Drosophila melanogaster: one gene and its partners. The main gene of each other region encodes a partner of the protein of the gene in region 2 in a complex. Each region holds a gene or a part of one and is shown on either strand. Other genes may lie near its edges. The genes, in order: MED7, MED9, MED19 and MED21.

What was found.
Region 1: MED9 (region 2) and MED7 share a complex: the UniProt entries of both Drosophila melanogaster proteins name them as parts of the mediator complex.
Region 3: MED9 (region 2) and MED19 share a complex: the UniProt entries of both Drosophila melanogaster proteins name them as parts of the mediator complex.
Region 4: MED9 (region 2) and MED21 share a complex: the UniProt entries of both Drosophila melanogaster proteins name them as parts of the mediator complex.

What each region holds. Positions count from the first base shown.
Region 1 is NT_033777.3:10,758,917-10,762,893, forward strand, and holds MED7 (mediator complex subunit 7), read right to left. Parts: upstream 2,117-3,977; 5' UTR 2,018-2,116; coding exon 1,688-2,017; intron 1,627-1,687; coding exon 1,294-1,626; 3' UTR 1,155-1,293; downstream 1-1,154. Other genes in the region: CG31272 (uncharacterized protein), read right to left, coding at 228-273; Cap-H2 (chromosome associated protein H2), read left to right, coding at 2,667-2,700, 2,928-3,109, 3,331-3,533. UniProt on the Drosophila melanogaster protein: Component of the Mediator complex, a coactivator involved in the regulated transcription of nearly all RNA polymerase II-dependent genes.
Region 2 is NT_033778.4:18,165,266-18,169,762, forward strand, and holds MED9 (mediator complex subunit 9), read left to right. Parts: upstream 1-1,989; 5' UTR 1,990-2,051; coding exon 2,052-2,257; intron 2,258-2,392; coding exon 2,393-2,456; intron 2,457-2,507; coding exon 2,508-2,672; 3' UTR 2,673-2,700; coding exon of another isoform or gene 2,701-2,873; intron 2,874-2,942; coding exon of another isoform or gene 2,943-3,027; 3' UTR 3,028-3,115; downstream 3,116-4,497. Other genes in the region: Nup75 (nucleoporin 75kD), read right to left, coding at 1-85, 153-498, 560-1,722, 1,780-1,806; CG42518 (uncharacterized protein), read left to right, coding at 2,701-2,873, 2,943-3,027; Dgp-1, read right to left, coding at 3,760-4,497. UniProt on the Drosophila melanogaster protein: Component of the Mediator complex, a coactivator involved in the regulated transcription of nearly all RNA polymerase II-dependent genes.
Region 3 is NT_037436.4:17,842,997-17,848,974, forward strand, and holds MED19 (mediator complex subunit 19), read right to left. Parts: upstream 3,506-5,978; 5' UTR 3,196-3,505; coding exon 2,758-3,195; intron 1,899-2,757; coding exon 1,784-1,898; intron 1,719-1,783; coding exon 1,258-1,718; 3' UTR 729-1,257; downstream 1-728. Other genes in the region: CG5567 (uncharacterized protein), read right to left, coding at 279-420; CG7430 (uncharacterized protein), read left to right, coding at 4,201-4,242, 4,551-5,078, 5,142-5,978. UniProt on the Drosophila melanogaster protein: Component of the Mediator complex, a coactivator involved in the regulated transcription of nearly all RNA polymerase II-dependent genes.
Region 4 is NT_037436.4:25,114,210-25,118,539, forward strand, and holds MED21 (mediator complex subunit 21), read right to left. Parts: upstream 1,738-4,330; 5' UTR 1,620-1,737; exon of another isoform or gene 1,516-1,619; 5' UTR 1,495-1,515; coding exon 1,453-1,494; intron 1,397-1,452; coding exon 1,010-1,396; 3' UTR 715-1,009; downstream 1-714. Other genes in the region: Set1 (SET domain containing 1), read left to right, coding at 1-458, 515-688. UniProt on the Drosophila melanogaster protein: Component of the Mediator complex, a coactivator involved in the regulated transcription of nearly all RNA polymerase II-dependent genes.

The DNA of each region.
Region 1 (3,977 bases), on a different chromosome or scaffold from region 2:
GAAACTCAGATTACGACTAATCACATAATTTTACGTCTATTTTTCAGTGTCATAAAAGATTACGCTTAAATTTGTCACAATAAACACATTTCAGTTAATTTGCGACTGGTTATTACATGATACTTCTTAAAAACAATGCACTTTTTAAGGAAGCTCTGTTTTATTGGGTTTATAAGGTTTTTTCTACTCCATCGTAGTTAGTTGCCAATTATTTTTTAACCCTTTACCTTTGCTTTTCTCTGGAATCGCTGTTTTAATATTCTTTTCCGACATCTTAGCTATTACTGTTTGTCACCATGGGTTTTCACAATCGGCTTGCTCTTGAAATTGATTGTTCAATTAATACGATGCAGTTCTTAATTAAAAAGCGCAACCACAAGTTCTTTAAAAAATTAAGTTCAAAGTCAATGAGTTAAGGGTTTTCAAAATATTCCTATTCAACCGACTTGCACACTTGCAATGCTGCACGAGAAATGATCATCTAGAGCGCATGGCACCTCCTTTTATCGGAGATTACTTCAATAAAAGTGAAGATTCACTTAACTACATCTCTCTTATCGCGGGCTTTACAATCTAAGAAAGCTAATAAACGTATTAAACCATGTTTATTTAGAAAAACACGTTGGATTTTGTAAAGGGCACAGTGAGTTAAAAAAATTTTAGGGAAAACATTATACTCCAGTTGTGAATGAATATCTCTATTGACTTTTTAATCATGTTTATCAAACAAAATTAGTAATTTTGATGAAACTCCATACAAATTCATTAAAACCACATATGTATATGTACATTATGAAACGCACTGTACGAGCATATTTCGGCTAGCCACGATGATGCCATGCGGTAGCACCCATTAAAAGTAGGAAAACGTGTGAGGTGTTCATGTCTCATGTCATGTCACATGTCTTTACAATTTTTACAATTAAATATATACATTTATATTGTTATTCCTATCCTGAATAAATTGTTCTAGATAGATTATTAATTTATGACATTTGACTATATTATTACTCCACGCTGACTACGTCATTTTAATGGTGAAATTTGTGGGATGCTTAATCATGAGCCTTTATCTCGGATCTTATCTGTGTAAAGCTTATCTCAAAGATGACTTAACACATTAATTCCCATTGAATGAATTACTCATTAGACGTGCAAGATTCTCATCCCACAATTGGGGTTTTATTTCTTATACTAAAAGGAGTTATAAATATGAGGAGCTCTTTTTTCCAAGCCATTCACAATGATTGACACTATTTCCAGCGTCGATGTCCAGTCTTTTGCCAACTCAGCTTACTCGATAGCGTCCACAAGCTTGCACAACATGCGATCGTGCTGGTAACTGGGATCATTCTTGGCCGCCGCATTCGCCTCCAACGGATCCACCTCCGTCTTAATCTTTGCTCCGCCGCTATCGTCGTCATCATCTAGAACCGGCAGAGCTGAGAAGGCGGTATTAACGATCTCGCGCACACGTTCCAAGTGCTTTTGGAAACGGGCGGCGGTCTCAACGCGCTGCCGCTTCTGCATTTCCATCATGACGCGCAGCGTTTCCCTCGCCTGATGTGGGCGAAATTCATTGAGGAGGTGATGCATGTTGACGAACAGCAGACTGATATCGTCAATCTAAGATATCAAATGAGTGTAATACAATAGATGCTACATTTTAATGGGTCAATTGACTCACCTTTTCCGTGCGCCGCGGGCTGTCAGGATTCAGGATAAGAAAGTCAATGAGATCTAGGAAGTTGACCAAGAGGGAGTGGTTAAGCTTCTTGAGCTCCTTGCGCCGATCGAAATGGATGGGGATCAGTCGCTTAATATTCTGGGACTCCAAGCTGCGGATCATCTCGTCGTTGTTGTACTGGATGCCAAACATGCTATAGACTTCGTGCTGCGCCGGCGGCGGCGGTGGGCGTGGCGCTCGGTTGCGGCGGATATTCTCGTCCGTGTAATTGGCGATGTACCGCTCCGGCGGCATCGGCAGGCTGGAAACCTGGGTCTCCTGGTTGGACATTATGAGATTAACAAGTGCGGAAATACAAAAATAATAAATGATTTTTGTTTTGAAGAAGTGATGGCACCTGAGACAGGCGAATCACTCACGATAGTGATGACACTATCACTCAAATTGTTTTCTTAAAAATGAGCACACTAGAGGTTTGAAGCTAGACAATGCAATAATAAGCAGAATTTATTATAATATGTTTTGAGACACTGACAAATAATTTACAATTACAAAAATTAAATTAGATATTAATCGAGCTCGAAATAATAAATGATTCACCGTGCCTAGCTATCGATAACTTAAAGGTGACCATGCTTGCATGCACCCCCTACAGCATTGCCATAGCAATTTTTCTCCGTCTCTTCCCTCATTCGTCGGTAGAGCACAACAAAATAAGAAACACATATATATCTTGATGTGAATAGCTAATTGTTCCAGCACCGATTCGCGCCAATATTCCTGTTCCTGCCAAAGAAATGAAAACAAAACGTAAAACCATAACATAACTGGACCCAACTAAGAGACAAGCCGTGCTGCCTCCACCATTTTGATTTCCCCACTCAGCGTGTGTGCGTGCTTGCAGTGCTTGTGCACGATGCCAGTAAAATGTGCAAAACCGGACATAAAACAAACTTTTCCTAGTGTCATCTAGTGAGCCATGGAGCGGATTTTGCCTGAAGAAGCGGAAGCGGGTAAGCATCCAGAACTTAGGTAACCAACGCAGGACAGCCCCAGGCGTGATCTTCGTTTCCCATTGATTAAGTCAGCGCTATTTCCAGTATACCGCGTGTGTTGGTGCTTCTATGCGAGTGTGTGTGTGTGTGTATGGGGAGGGCCGAAATAAACAATAAAGCGGATCTGCGATTGGGTGTGTGGTTTTTGCTTAAGTAAATCCAATCGGTTTCTATTTAATTCACAGCCTACTTGAGCGAAGCGCGGGAGCAGATATTGGAAATAGCCAAGAATCGGCCGGGAACCCAAGTGGCCAAGTGCATCCGCGCCTACGATGAGCAACAGGACCTGGCCTCGCTAGTCGTCCTCCTCGAAGAGCTCTCCAAAAACACGGACTACTCCACGGACCTACGGATATCACTGGGATATGTGAGTGTTGAAGACCACTATTATCAAGATAAGCAAAACCGCCGAAGAGCAGAAAGATCAAAATAAAAGTGTGACGCAACGTGCGTGGGTTTTACAGTCATGCCTCGATAACTGGTATTTTAACTAAAATTATATAAATGGGTTTTCAAGAAAATCTATTATTTTATTTACAGTGAACACAAAAGCCTGCAGATCCTCAAATACATTGCTTATATTTTCAGTATATTGAAGAGCTACTGCGCCACTGCTTAGGACGAAATGATGTCTCTCGAAGATCGGCCATCGTGGCCGCAGGAAGTGCCCTCCAGTACTGCGGCAAGATCTATGGAGACCGAGTGGAGTACCTGTGCCAGGTGGTGGAGCACCAGATCGAAGCCCTGCTCACATCGGAGTTGCAGAAGGAGACCCCTAGCGGAAGTGCTGCGTAAGTTTAACTCAGAACTGAAGAGTTAAGAAGATGGAGAAAGACAAGGCCACGTGCTCCCCACTTGTCGCCATTGCTGGCTCTTTTCGGTCCAGAATTCCGCTTATCGAGCTTCACTTTACGCCCCCTTCGGCTTTGTTTGCATTAATATCACAGAAGCCGGCTTGCCGTTAATGGACGATAGGGCACGTTCTCGTGCTTCCAAAAACAAATAACAAACAGAGTATATAAAGAAATGAGAAATTAACCAGACAAGTGAAGCTAAAAACGTAGACAGTTCATTCATAAAAATAACAAGTTATTCAGAGATAGATCACATCCTAAATAAATATTTTTACATTATAATTCACTTAAATTCTTTCTTATCAGCCGGCATTAAAGAATTTGGGGAGATTATTTGACCTAAATGTTGAAAGTCTAATTAATTTTAAAGATAGCACCAGT
Region 2 (4,497 bases):
ACACCAAGCGCGGTGAGGCAAACATTCGGCCACCGACATTGGCAATGGTGTCCGGGCAAAGCATGCAGCCAGTTTTCGAGTAATGCTATGCCACAGATCAATATACAAATCAAATTGAATGAAATACTTATGCAAAAATAGTTTATATTTACCTTTAAAATAAAGTCAGCTACCGCCGTAACCAGCAGCACATCCTTGGAGCGAATGGCCCATTCCAGGGCGTTTCCATAACGCTCGTTATCGTAGGATCGCTTTGAAAGCACCTTGCAGATCTCCCGTTCTACGCTTATGAGCCCGCGCTGCCTGGCCAGGTTAATAAGCTTGGTGGCTTGCCGCTCGCTGCGCAAAGTGATTCGGGGCAAAAGCAGCTCGATAGCCGCCTGACCCTCCTGCTTGCAACAGTCCAGATAGTCGATGCCCAGTTGCCACATATTGTGGGACGTCATCAGATAGCTGCCGTACTCATAGATCATTGAGTGACGCAGGGCCGGAAGATCGCTGTGGGTGCATAAAATATATAGCATATTGATTGAACATAACTTCTGACAAAAAAACTCACATGTTGTTCTGATCGAAATAGCTCTTCAGCTGACCACAATGATGGATAAGATCAATCAAATGCGTTGAGAACCAGTGTGTGTCGTTAAGTTTTTGAGCATCGTATATAAATAGTCTAAGATCGTGATCCATAAGCTGAGAAACCATGCGGTTCATGCTGCACTGCTCTCTTTCCGGCCGGAGAAGACACCATCGGTTTAGCCATTTGGCTGCCGCTATTTTCAGCTCAAAGGGTTTGCAGGTGGGCTTGGTAAAGAGCAGGTATCCTGGCAGGTATTCATAGAAATCCTGGGACTCTTTGATGCCAGCATCCCACTGCTCGCTGTCGCCGGCGACCAGACGAATCAACTGCTCCAGCTCCGGCTCCGTGGCAAATAAGCCGGACTGAATCTTGCGTTCCGTATCCACGTGCCAGAACTCCCACTGCGAGTGAAACTTCTGCAGGGCATAGCCCTCTTGATACACTGGCATGGACTTCAGGATCTGTTCGGCCGCCTTGAAGCTCGTTTGTCCAGCTTTGCGATTCTGCGAGAGAACTGCTCTCGTAACATCTATTTCGCCCAGCATAATGAGTGATTTGACAATGCTCCAATAGTCATCAGATTCGCTGGCCTCCTCTCCCATGAGCAGTAGATCCGTGGCTCTGTCCTCTGCGTGCGGCGAGTGGAAACGCGCCCAGTCGAGCAGCTGCGGCACCACCAGCTGATTGCTCTGAATGTACAGAATCTCGAAGAGATGCCACAGGCATTCTGCCGCATAGAACACAACGATGGCATCACATAAGCGTTGCAGGCGCGCCTCATCTGTCTGAACCTCCGGCGATTTTTTTGCCTGCTCCAGCTTCTCCAGGCATGAGCGCACAATGCTCCTGTATGCCCGGGATATATTCACATACTCGGCACGTGTGGCCCGCGAACCCAACTGTTGCAGCGTGGCGAACGTGGCATTCGCCTCGGCGAGTACGCTGCGGAGAACGGGTTCGTCGAACAGCGTCGACTCCTGCGCCATGTAGATGAGCACCGGAACCTGTCCAGCATTCTCTGTGGGCTCATCCCGCGAACTGTGCGTCACATGCCGGTAGGCGCTGAGTGCGATTCGTGAGCCCGGCACAAAGACGCCAGTGAGTGTATTGCCACAGCGTGTGGCTAGGTCATCGCCAAGCTCCTAGATAGATTAAACGAGGTTTAATCTATTGAGTTTTTTATTTGTGCAGCTACTTACGAAGGCGAAAACACCGCTGTCGCTCATGTTGGCTTTATGTTTTTCTTCTTTATAAATTCTAAACGATTCGTTGCTTGTTATCGATAAGCAGAGGCGGCATTTGCCTGGCTCTATCGGTCTATCGTACTTCGATAGCAGGTTGTGCATCTACTACTTTTCCCTTTAGTATATTAATCGAATTAAGAGAATGTGAGGGCATTACTTTGGTATTATTACGTGTTGTCGGTAAGGTCCTATTGATTCTGACGCTGGAAATTCGATTCGTGTTTTTTATGATGGATTTGTCGCCAAACAATCAGATCGAGGACAGAAAACCCATCCTAACCGCCGACGGCCTGGTTCAGACTTCGAACTCCCCCTTCGAGCCGACCATATCGCAGGAGACGCAAACATCCAACGGAATCGGCGGCCAGTGCCATCTGACGGTTGACCAGTTGGACATTGAGATTCTGCCGATAATCTACGACATTGTGCGCTGGTGAGTGGTCATCGCGGATGCGGATTCCGGGTGTCATTGCCCCTGCACGGACAATGCCGAAAATCGGCGGATTTTAGCAACAAGTGCGCAATTAATGCCGCACCTTATATAACCTGGCGTCTTTGTGTCTTTCAGCGTGGAAAAGGATCCTCTGGAGAACGCCGTTAAGCTGCGCGAGTCCCAGGATTGCAACCACAAGGTGAGTCCTTGGTTCGTCATAAGTTGCCACCGCTATATACTTGATTTGTAGATCTTTGAACTTCAAAAACGCTTCGAATCGGCACGCGAGCAAATCCGCCAGCTCCCCGGGATCGATTTCAATAAGGAGGAGCAGCAACAGAGACTGGAACTACTGCGAAATCAGCTGAAGCTTAAGCAGCAGCTAATTCGCAAATACAAGGACACAGAGTTCTAGGCGGCAGCAAAATAAAAAAAAGGGCAAGATGGTGCTGCGACTGCTAATGCGCTACCTGGCCAACAACGAGCAGCTCATCCAGCGCATGGCGGAGAGCTATCCCATGAGACGCGCTGCCCAGTTGGTCGTTTCCCTGATGTACCGCACAAAAGACTTGGCCCGGGAGCAGGGACTGCACGAGATGACGCCAGAGCGTTTCAAGTGAGTGAAAGAATCGCCAGAATCATCTGGCTGAATCCGCCAATCTGACATGCATTTTCCAAATTGTAGATCCTTCGTTAACATGTTTAAGAACAACGTGCGCCAAGAGCTGGAGGGAGTGAAGAAGGAGCTTAATAGCAAGAAAAAGAACTAGGGTTCAGTAATTAACTTGTTTAACTACAATTGTATATACGCGGCAAGATAAATTTTAGTAAACACAGATGAATAAACATTGAAGCCAGAACATTATCTTCGGTGAATGAACCTTATTTTTGTAGAATAGGAAATTGCTTTTATTAAGGTAATTAGGAAACAAAGAAATCCTTATTCATTGCCATTTTATCTTAACACTTAAAAACAAAAGAGAACTTCAGATTGTCATTCTGAAACTATCGTTTTACAAAAAAATCAAATAATAACCTAATGTCTGCATTTACAACGCTTTCAACGTAATTTGCGTCAGCAAATTTGTTTTCATTTTCAGTTTGCATAGACATTAAACTCATCTTAAACTATAAGATTTTAATTTAAGATTCCAATTTATAAAGTCGTGTCTATTTAAGTTTATCGAGAGATAATTTAATATCATGTACACAAGTAGCATCTGGTTCAACCTGCGTTTATTCAGTGAAAAGACAAATGAAATCCATGCTGCAGTGACGTCGGTTGTCTTAAGTCTAGTGAACAAACAAAATATAGAATTTGGTTTGGCATATAGCACAATGTACAGTGGACAAGAACGGGACACGAAATAGTTTATTGGGGCACATGCCACTTTAGATTAGAAGGTCGCAAAATAAATTCATCCAATTATCTTTAAGAATTTGAAAAAAAAATACTTTAGTTTACAAAACTAGAAAGAGCCAAAACATGCAGGCGGCGCACTTCACTCGGTGAGAGCGGCCGGTGTGACTTCAACCGAGGACGACGACGAAGGATTCTCGCCGAGGGGCAGACCCAAAGAGGCCGAGCCATTGGATGGATCCACCCCAACGCCGCCGGACGGAGTCGGGCGATTATTTCTTTTCCGCTTGCCACCTCGCCGGCTGCCACCCTCGCGCTTGTCGCCGTTCTGCTTCTCGTCGGCGTTGTCCTTGCTGCATCCGGCGCCCGAGGAGCTGCCCTGGCCCTGCTGGCGGTGCTGGTTGTTACTGCCGTTGCTGCCGCCGTTATGTGAGCGCGACTGCATCTTGGCGGGCTTGGGGCGATATGGGCTAGCGGCAGCATTCGGTAGCGGACGCAGTATATTGCCAACAGCCTTGGTGCGTCCCTCGCGAAAGACCAGGCGCTGACCGGCGCGTATGTACTCCGGCTGCTTGATGAACCGGAATTTCACATGTGCCTTGTCGCCTGTTCGCAGGCAGTCGCGCGACATGTGTATGATTGAGGCCGTCTGGCGGATGCTGCCGCAGTGGACCATGGCCTGGTAGCGCGCCGATATCGTCGTCGGATGGTGGAGCACTAGTATCTCTCCCTCGAACTCCCAGCAGGCTTGCGGTTTGAGATCCTGCGACACCATTACCATGCCCTTGCGCAGATAGGCGCGCTTTATTTTCTTTAACGCAAAGCTTGCTGTTTGGCCACAGCGCACGCGTGCCACGTTCATGCGCTTGCGATGGATGCT
Region 3 (5,978 bases), on a different chromosome or scaffold from region 2:
TTAGGGAATTTATCAAACGGCTCTTTACTGCTTTACTCTTTACTAAATATAACGATGATTAACAAGATATGAGGGCATCCGAAAGTCGACTTCCCGCCATATCACGCACTTCACTCTTTGACATTGAAATAAACGACGCAGCCACAATACAGAAACTATTGGCTGCTGACGTATTTGGGCAGAATGTGGTATACACATATCTTTATGTAACGCAACTTCCTGGGGGGAATCCTGGGTGGGTGCGAGTTAGTAGTATCTCATCCCCACCACCGACTTACCATCGCAGTCGGTTATTACACTGTCGAAGCCTGCTAGCCACTCGGTCACCTTGGCGGAGGATAATTCCAGGAGATTGGTGCACGACTGCTTGTACATGTTGATAGCTGCCTGTCGCGAAAATCTGGCGAAGTTACAACTCATCTATGGCTTTGCAGCGACGACTATCTTATACACATCACTTTTAATTTATTAATTGACTCTCGATTGCGAGAAACTCCCTGAGAATTAAAGCAGCTGTTGGCGCCTGTTAAGGCTATGTTACTATCTGTCAGATTTCAGCGTAGCTGTTAATGCGCCATGTTAAAGTCAACAGAGTGCTAACAAGTGTTTGGCGCCAAATTTGAATTTAAGGGCTCCTTGGAAGCAGAACTTCTGTGCAACAAATGCTTATATTCGAAAAATGAACTAAGCTCCCCAAACTATTGTAAACACACACTTTGATCATTTTTATGCTTGTTTATTGTTTTATGTGCCTAATCACTAAAATTAATTACTTATAGTACAGGCATTTTTATTTTGTTGAATCTCAGCTTTCTTTTGTGTTTATAAACTTGCTGGAAGAACAAACCATTGCAGAAATTTAATTGAAATACTGACCCTACACACGTTACAAGGTTGGTAAGCAAATTAAAGAGGTTGCAAAGCAGCGTTTTTGTGGCGGCGTGGCGAGGGGTGTGTTTGTGTGGAGGGAAGAGCTGGAATCGAGAGCGAAAACGTTCTTGCGTTTTGTACCATAACTTGCGTTTAAATAAATCTCATTAAGCTAGCGCGAAAACGAACGAAAAATTGTTGGCTAATTACAGAAATAAACTATTTTACATTTACAATAATCATAAATTAATAACTAGGACACGAAACGATATCGAGAAAATTGCATGTAGAGGACCGAGGCCCTCTGCGTTTTTTTTATGTTGCCATTTGGGGTGCGTCTGCTGATGAGAGGTAATGAGCCAAGTCTATTTTGCTAAAGGATCCTGCCTAAAACTGCGACATAAGCAGACTCCCACCGACGCCGCCCCCGCCACCACCTCCTCCTCCGCCGCCGCCACCTGGACCGCCACTAGTGCCCAGCACAGATCCCAGCAGACCGCCACTTGACATCTGCTGTTGCTGCATGGGCATCTGCTGTTGCTGCTGCATCTGCATCGATGAGGAGAAGCTATTCATGTTCCCCACAACGCCAGGTCCCATACTGGCACTAAGGCTGGACAGCCCGGGTCCTCCAGGTCCTCCTCCCAGCGATCCCAGACTAGTGGCTCCCATTACACCCGCTGCTCCGCCCAAGCTCGCTCCTCCGGGCAGCAAGCCCACGCCCGGTTCGGGGCTCTGGTTTTTCTTTTTACGCTTTTTCTCCTTTTTGCGCTTCTTGCGCTCCTTGTCGTCCTCATGGCGTTTCTGCTTCTTGTGCTTTTTCTCGTAAGTCTCCAGGCCGGCCGAGTCTGCAAGATGGTTATCATTGGATTATGTGTGATCGAGTTGCTCGATAATTCAGCAGATTGCTTACCGAGCAGCGTGGATTCCTGTCCCGTGGTCACCCCGTCTTTGTGTTTTTGCTTTTTGTGTTTGTTTTTGTGTTTACGCGCAGGTGTGACATATGTGGTACGATACTGTTCCGGCAGCTGAAAGGAGCACCAGAATCGGATAAATTAGCAATGTGAAAGTGCAGAGGAAAAAAATAATATATTTTATGCAATTTGTTCTAGTAACGATTTATCCATTGTTTGAAATATATGACATGTAAAAAATATTTCACGAAACCTTTTAAGATGAATTATTATTATTATTAGATTGCATATAGGGTGAAAGAAAACTCTCAATAATATTAAATGCCAATATTTCAATAACAAGAAAGGAAGGACAATCCGTCAACAAGGAAGGTTAGTTTTTTTTTTTTTTTTGAATATCATAATATTAAACCATATGGCAGCAATATGAATTAGTGGCCTAAACTGGCGCGTTCTGATTTATGCACTACTTGCAACAAAAATTTAAAACTGAAAGAAAACGGGCAGGCGGACATGGCCTTATCGACTCAGCTGTTCATATAGATCACTGCGTTGCGAACTACTGACTTAATATACACTGTTCAAAAGAGGTTTAAAGGGAAAACCAACATTTACACTCTTGTTAATTTAAGTAATTTTTGTGATTAATGACTAAAATATTTGTGTTTCAAATTTGTTGTTGAACATAAGGAAAATGAATTACAACTCTAAAATACTACGGTGATTATAGAAATAAGTGACAGAAAAGGTGCGACCAAATAACACTTTATAGTAGATCAGTCTGTGCAAGGACACTTAAATCCAAATTTCATATGCAAATTTTAAAAAGCGAAATTAATGCATGCAAATGTATAGAGACGCAAAGCATTGAATAGCGTCTAAATGTATTCTAAGATGTTCAATGTGCCGTATCTAAAGATTCGTCATTTTTCAAACTGAGCAAGCGAATTAAAAGCATATTGGAAAAACCAACCGGTCCGGGATGCAAGCGGAATCCGGCCAGCTGCACGGGAGTCAGCGGAAGAAGCTCCTTTCCACCAATGGGCGGCTTTTCGATCACGCTCCGCAGCGTGCTATTCTCCACGGGATGCGTGATGAGGTCGTTAATGCCGGGGATGTTCTGCAGAAACGAGGCCAGCGACTCCTTGAACTTCTTCTCCTTGAACTTGGTGAGTGTGTGGTGCAGTCCGTACTCGGTCATGAGATCCTTGTCGCCGGTAAGTTCTGCCTTGGCGGGTGGTTCCTTCATGGAGTAAAATGGCCCCGTGTGAATGATCGTTGGCGTCTTGCCCAGCGAAATGGTCGTTTTCAGGGTGCCGGATGAGTCTTGACGGGCCACCACGGGTGATCGGCCGCCGCCGTGGGGCGATGACTTCGGTGAGTCCATCATGTTGCCGTAGTTGCTCATCATCTTGGAAACTCAGCGATTCTCTTCACTCTTGGCAACCCACGCACACAATCGCACCGCACCGCACACGCTCACGCACACAGGGGCACAGCAACAAGGCAAGGCCAGCAGAAGGTGTCGCCTGTCGCGGCTCTCGGGCAACGCTGGCCAAGCTCACACTCTGCAAAATGCGCCGCGTCTGCCCGGCACTTCGGCTGACTCTTTTCTGGTCGAAAACTGAACTAATTATTTGCTCTTGTGGCGTTTTCTAACAGATTTCGGGGGCAAGTCTCGCCATCTTGTTGTGTCCGCGAACCAGTGTGACCGCATTGCGACAGCTAGCGAAATACTGAGGCTTCAACGAAAACGCGAGATGAACGCGACGTGAAAATACCAAAAGTGTTGTGGGAAATATCCCAGATGGGGAATACCACACAGGGTTGTACTGTAGGGCAAACTATCGAATATTCATCGTATAATACATTTTTAATTACCTATAGATATAATAAAGTTAATATTACTTTGGAACTCTTATTATATATGTATCGTATGTACGTTGAGTTATATATTTTTAAAACAGTTATTTTACAGTTTATTTATTACAGTTTATTTTATACGTACAAAAACATTAATTAATGGGTGCCAAAACTATAAAAGCCGGCTTACACGTATAGTTGGCTTGTTTTTAGGTAGCTTTTGCTACAACAAATGACCCATAAAGTGAATATTGTATAAACTAGCAATTGAGTGACGGACATATCGTATTTTGAACGATCATCAAGCTAATATTTTTATACACATCTTTTTCATACGAAAATGTTTTAGAATTTCAAATTCCAACAGAGTGGAAAATCACCAAAACAATCGATAGCATCGCGGCCATCATATGACCACTATCGAATGCACATCGCCAGCCCTGCGACCGCTCCGAGCCCCACAACACGAAAAACAGTCGGAAAAACACACATCAAACTAGTGTTGTGTTTGTAGTTAAATAACGATTATCCTCATAACTCGCCCGCACCAGCCATGCAATTCACGCTCCGTCATGTTGTTTCGGCAGTAGCCAAGGTAAGGATCGGGCGACATAACCGATTCCCCAAACGCCATCGCCCCTCAAGTTATGCAATCTAACCTCACCGAGGGGGTCGAGAAATGGGCAGGAAAAGGCTGGAAAATGCACTTGGATCACCTGCAGTGCTCATATGATCCCGGTGGGTGATTCACTGGCGTTTGGGGATTTGTTTGGCCCCGTTTTCAAGGTCGCTAATTAGGCCAATTATCAGCTGATAGTCGGCCGAAGATTAGTGCGAAATGCGTGCGACTGGCGTGATAAATGATAAGGTGCCACAACATGTAGTAATCTGCCGTCTTTACAGACTCCTCTGCGCACCAATGCCGCCATTCTGGGTGCCCTCAACGCCCGCTGCTACTCCAGCACCCACGAGGCGGACATCGTGGTGATTGGCTCCGGACCCGGTGGCTATGTCGCCGCCATCAAGGCCGCCCAGATGGGCATGAAGACGGTCAGCGTGGAGAAGGAGGCAACTCTGGGCGGCACCTGCCTGAATGTTGGCTGCATTCCCTCAAAGGCGCTGCTGAACAACTCCCACTACTACCACATGGCCCACTCCGGTGATCTGGAGAAACGTGGTATTAGCTGCGGCAGCGTTAGCCTGGATCTGGAGAAGCTTATGGGTCAAAAGTCCAACGCCGTGAAGGCTTTGACCGGTGGCATTGCCATGCTTTTCAAGAAGAACAAGGTCACACAGCTGACGGGCTTCGGCACCATCGTCAATCCCAACGAGGTGGAGGTTAAGAAATCCGACGGCTCCACGGAGACTGTCAAGACCAAGAACATCCTCATCGCCACCGGCTCGGAGGTTACCCCCTTCCCTGGCATTGAAGTAAGTGCAAAACCTCTACAGCGCGCTTGATTACTAATGCATGCCATTCAAAAACCTTCACAGATCGACGAGGAAGTTATTGTGAGCAGCACTGGCGCCCTGAAGCTGGCCAAGGTGCCCAAGCATCTGGTTGTCATCGGCGCCGGTGTCATTGGCCTGGAGCTGGGTTCGGTATGGTCGCGTCTGGGCGCTGAGGTCACTGCCATTGAGTTCATGGATACGATCGGCGGCGTGGGCATCGATAACGAAGTCTCCAAGACGTTCCAAAAGGTGCTCACCAAGCAGGGTCTTAAGTTCAAGCTGGGCACCAAGGTGACGGCTGCCTCTCGCAGCGGCGACAACGTCACCGTGTCCGTGGAGAACGCCAAGTCTGGCGAGAAAGAGGAGATCCAGTGCGACGCCCTGCTGGTCAGTGTTGGACGTCGTCCCTACACCGAAGGTTTGGGTCTGGAGGCCGTGGGCATTGTTAAGGATGACCGCGGCAGGATCCCCGTCAACGCCACTTTCCAAACTGTGGTGCCCAATATTTACGCCATCGGCGACTGCATCCACGGACCCATGTTGGCGCACAAGGCTGAAGATGAGGGCCTCATCACCATTGAGGGCATCAACGGCGGCCACGTGCACATCGACTACAACTGCGTGCCCAGTGTAGTCTACACGCATCCCGAGGTCGCGTGGGTTGGCAAGAGCGAGGAGCAACTGAAGCAGGAGGGTGTTGCCTACAAGGTGGGCAAGTTCCCCTTCCTGGCCAACTCTCGTGCCAAGACCAACAACGACACCGACGGTTTCGTCAAGGTTCTGGCCGACCAGGCCACCGATAAGATCCTGGGAACCCATATTATCGGACCTGGTGCCGGCGAGCTCATTAACGAGGCTGTGCTGGCCATGGAGTACGGA
Region 4 (4,330 bases), on a different chromosome or scaffold from region 2:
ATTATGCTAAAGCCAATACAGAAGATTCCTTTAATGAAGATCGGAGCGATGAACCTACAGCACTTACAAATCATCATCACAATAAATTAATTTCTAAAATGCAAGGAATTTCCCGCGAAGCTCGCTCAAACCAGAGAAGACTTTTAACAGCCTTTGGTTCTATGGGTGAGTCTGAGCTTTTAAAATTTAATCAGCTAAAGTTTCGGAAGAAACAGCTTAAGTTTGCAAAATCTGCGATACATGATTGGGGATTATTTGCAATGGAGCCCATAGCTGCAGACGAAATGGTTATTGAATATGTTGGTCAGATGATTCGACCTGTAGTTGCTGATCTAAGAGAAACAAAGTATGAAGCAATTGGGATTGGGAGTTCCTATTTGTTTCGAATTGACATGGAAACTATAATTGACGCAACTAAATGTGGAAACTTAGCTCGGTTTATAAATCACAGTTGCAATGTAAGTAAGCTGGATGTTCTGACATTATGTTACCAACATAAAATTTTGTTTTTCAGCCGAATTGCTACGCTAAGGTTATAACTATTGAATCTGAAAAGAAGATAGTAATATATTCAAAGCAACCCATTGGTATCAACGAGGAAATAACTTACGACTATAAATTTCCACTAGAAGACGAAAAAATACCTTGTCTATGCGGCGCCCAAGGATGTCGGGGTACACTTAACTAATACTTATTTACAACAATGAATTAAATATTTTAGAGCACATAAATTTAATTTGTTCATAAAATCCAAAGTGGGGTACGTGTAAGTATATATAGTTTTTTTTATAACTTAAAACTATAATTAATTATTATAAAAATTATATCAACGAGGTCAGAGGTGCTGTTCAAAATGGTTTAGGTCTAAATTAAGCTAAAATACTTTACTTATAAAAACAATATGTATATACTAAAACCCATTTGATCTGTAAACACGAACGAAAATGCAATAAATACATTATCTTAAATTTAAAAATAATTTGCCTTTATACAAAAATGTGTTAAGCAGCTATTGTAAATCATGTTTGAGTGTTATTTGCATATCTAATTGAGCCTGAGCAATGCATTCCAAAGAATACTGCATTTTTTCTAGCAAAAGTTCGCCTTTTTGCACTACTTCCTCTAGGTCTCTTGCAGTTCCCTGGTTTTCGATCTCGAGCCTCTTAAGGCTAGAATTTTGGAGTTCAATGGAGCTGTCTTCATTTGGAAGAGACTCGATTAAGGTGTCGATGTCTTTAGCACATCGTGCAATTAACTGTGCAAATAATTGGGCATAGTCTTCTTGCGGCGGACATGGGATTGGCGTTTGGGGTCCAATGCGTTCAAAATTAACAAATTTACTTGGAAGGGACGTTTGTTGAATTACACCAATAGCATTGCAGAAGTGCTCCGCTTGCTGCAATGATTATTTTACATAAAAAACTGGTTATTTCTTAATACGAAGTCACTTACCTGATTAACGGTGTCTTGCAATTGTGTAAGCCGATCCGCCATTTTACTACAGAGTTAATAATTCTGAAAAACAAAAAATTATATGGAATTAAGTTTGATTAGCCAGTTCAAATTTTGATTAACATTTTTAATATCAACATAACATAATCAACATAATATCAACATACAATGACCGTTGGTGATTTTTATAATATATAAGCATTTATTTATCGATTGATTTTATGTCTTATTTACAGATACCTCACAGCAGCGACTATTCTCTTAAAAAAAGAAATGCTATTAATATGAGTTCCACACTAAAACGTGATTTCTTTCAATGAGACGAATTATTCTTGTTCACACTGTGCCATAATAATGTCTTCATTCCAACGATATAAACTACCATAAGATTGTCGGAAACAGTGGAATCTCCATAATATATGACCACACGTTGCACATCGATCCCTCTTGTCTTGTTCAAAATCATCACAATTTCGGTTATAACAAGGAAGCAGTTGGTCTCCAAGTAGTCTGCAACCTCTCTCACACAATCTTGGTATATCCTTGAGGAGGGTATATCGATTTCAGTTATAAGCTTGCAACGAAGTGAAAAAAGCATTTCAGTCCAATTAAGTGGGTATAAATATCAGTAAGAACAGCCGTACCCTTTTTCACGATAATTATTCTTTTAATTTTTAACATATCTAAATCGGTTCACCATATCTTAAAGATGTCATATGAAAAATTTTAAAGCTACCTCTCTTGTTTTTTAAAGGTTTTTAAAAGCAACAAAGATTTTATGATACGAACACTTTGTGCCTCCGATTAGTTTTCTTGTGAGGGGATTTGAATGGGTGGTCAGTTTTACTAGGTATTTTAATTTTCTTCTCAGTTATTATTTCGATAAATAATTTGATTTTTTTCTCTCTGTGTATGTCTTCGTTCCGAAGGTATCACGCTCTAGTCAGAATTCTCAGAATTGTTGGCTGTTCTCGCTGAATGGATGCCCCACAGGTCGGAGCCATAAGTCCAGATTGGTTTTAAGACGGAGTTGTATAGGAGAGCTTTGAACTCCACGCTAAGTGGAGAGCGAGCATGAGCCAGTGAAGGTTCCTTGCATCTTATTGCGACTTCAGTAGCTTATGTATGTTTTGGAACAATAGCTTGGCTAGTTTAAGCAAAAGTCCATCCAGAAACACTGTCAAATGCCTGCGCGACGTCTAGTAAAATGGCTGTGTAATATTCTCGATGCTCAAAAGCAGTACGAATTTCTGACGTGATTCGATTGGCCTGTTCGATGGTTCCATGTTTTTTCCATGACGAGGGCTTATTCCCAGGAGTAGCATTTTTTCAAATAAATTTTAGAGATAAGTTAGTTACTGTATCGGTCTATATGATGATGGCTGCGTTTTATCTTTTCCTGGCATTGGAATCATTACTATGGTAGATTTTTTCCATTTTTGAGGGAAGTATCCATGCTTGGCGATTGCGTTGAACAACAAGCACATGTGCAGAACATCACACTGGGAGTTCAATAAGGATTTTTTGAGTTATTAGGTCGAAGCCAAAATCGCTTCAGTTGCTTTTTGATAACCTTTGCTAATTCACATAATCTAAGTTTGCTTCTGCTAAAGGAGGGAGAATAATGACTTTATAGCAGGATTTGGTAGAAATAAAATTTGTAAGTGGTCAGCAACTGCTCTGGCTCTTTTCTCATCACTGTCTTTTCTCTACAAAAGGTTCTTAGTGCTGGTGGGCATACGTCACTTTGCACCCGAAACTAGAATATTTTCAACAGTGTCCGTTGACTTGTCTATATTTTCCTTAGCAGATAATGCCGGCGTTAGTTCTATGTGTGATCTGGGTCTGGGATTTTTCTTGGGTCTGCTGGTCAGTATGTATTGGATAGCGTGGTGGGCAGTAGACTGCGGCTAGAGTCATTGAACCATTGTTGAGTAGTTAGACTATGGACGTAGATTGAGGTGGTTTTTATGCGATTTCTGATTAGTATGCCAGTGCCTCCAAGAGCTTTACCATCTGAATGATTTGTGAGGTGCGTTTCTGATAGTAGCATTACTCCAGTGTTTTTTTCGGTAATGAACTGTGTGAGTTCTTGTGTATGAAGTGAATAGATATCCGTAGGGAAGCCAGCATGGGGATTTTGAAGATACAAGAAGTTGTATCAGGAAATTTTGCACGTTTTGATCGTTATGAAATATTTCATGCTTTTCTGTAGGGATAGCATCATAGCTTCAATGCCACTTTGTTCAGTTTGTTGCATATTTGTCAATTTATGTTCGGAATGAGCAGTTCTAGTCGGTGAGGCGGGGACTTCTAGTCCGGATTTTAAGGCGCTAGCGAAGAAAATTCCAAGAGTAGTGCTTGGGACAGTTAAGGGTGGTTGAAACATCGAATGCGGAGAGCAGAAATTGACTTTGTTGTATGTATTTGCTATACGTTAAACCACACAGCAGTATGCCTTGGTGTGGCCGTATTCTTGGCAATCGCCTTCTGCTTTTGTTTTGGTTCTTTTTTTACGTCCATTATTGTTGTTGCCAATGGTCGGTGTTGCAGAATTATTTACAGCTGGCACAGCGATTAGTTGGGCCGCTAACGAAGTTGTTGTTGTGGTAGCAGTGACAGTTTCTAGGGAGGTCACTGCACTTGTTATTGCAGTGTTACAGTTACCCGGAATGTTCGATTGTGGCTGTGTGGGGAGCGGTGTAGGAGAGGCGGTCTTTTCGCTCCGCGAGAGCAAAAGCTTGTTTTTCGAGTTAGTTGAAGGTAAGGGTGCTCGATCATCGAATTGCCCCGAAACGAAAGCAATGTATGCATGGTTGCGTTGTAAAGAGAGACGGCGCTCAACTTATGAAGGCATTATTGGCAGCTTGTGTTACCG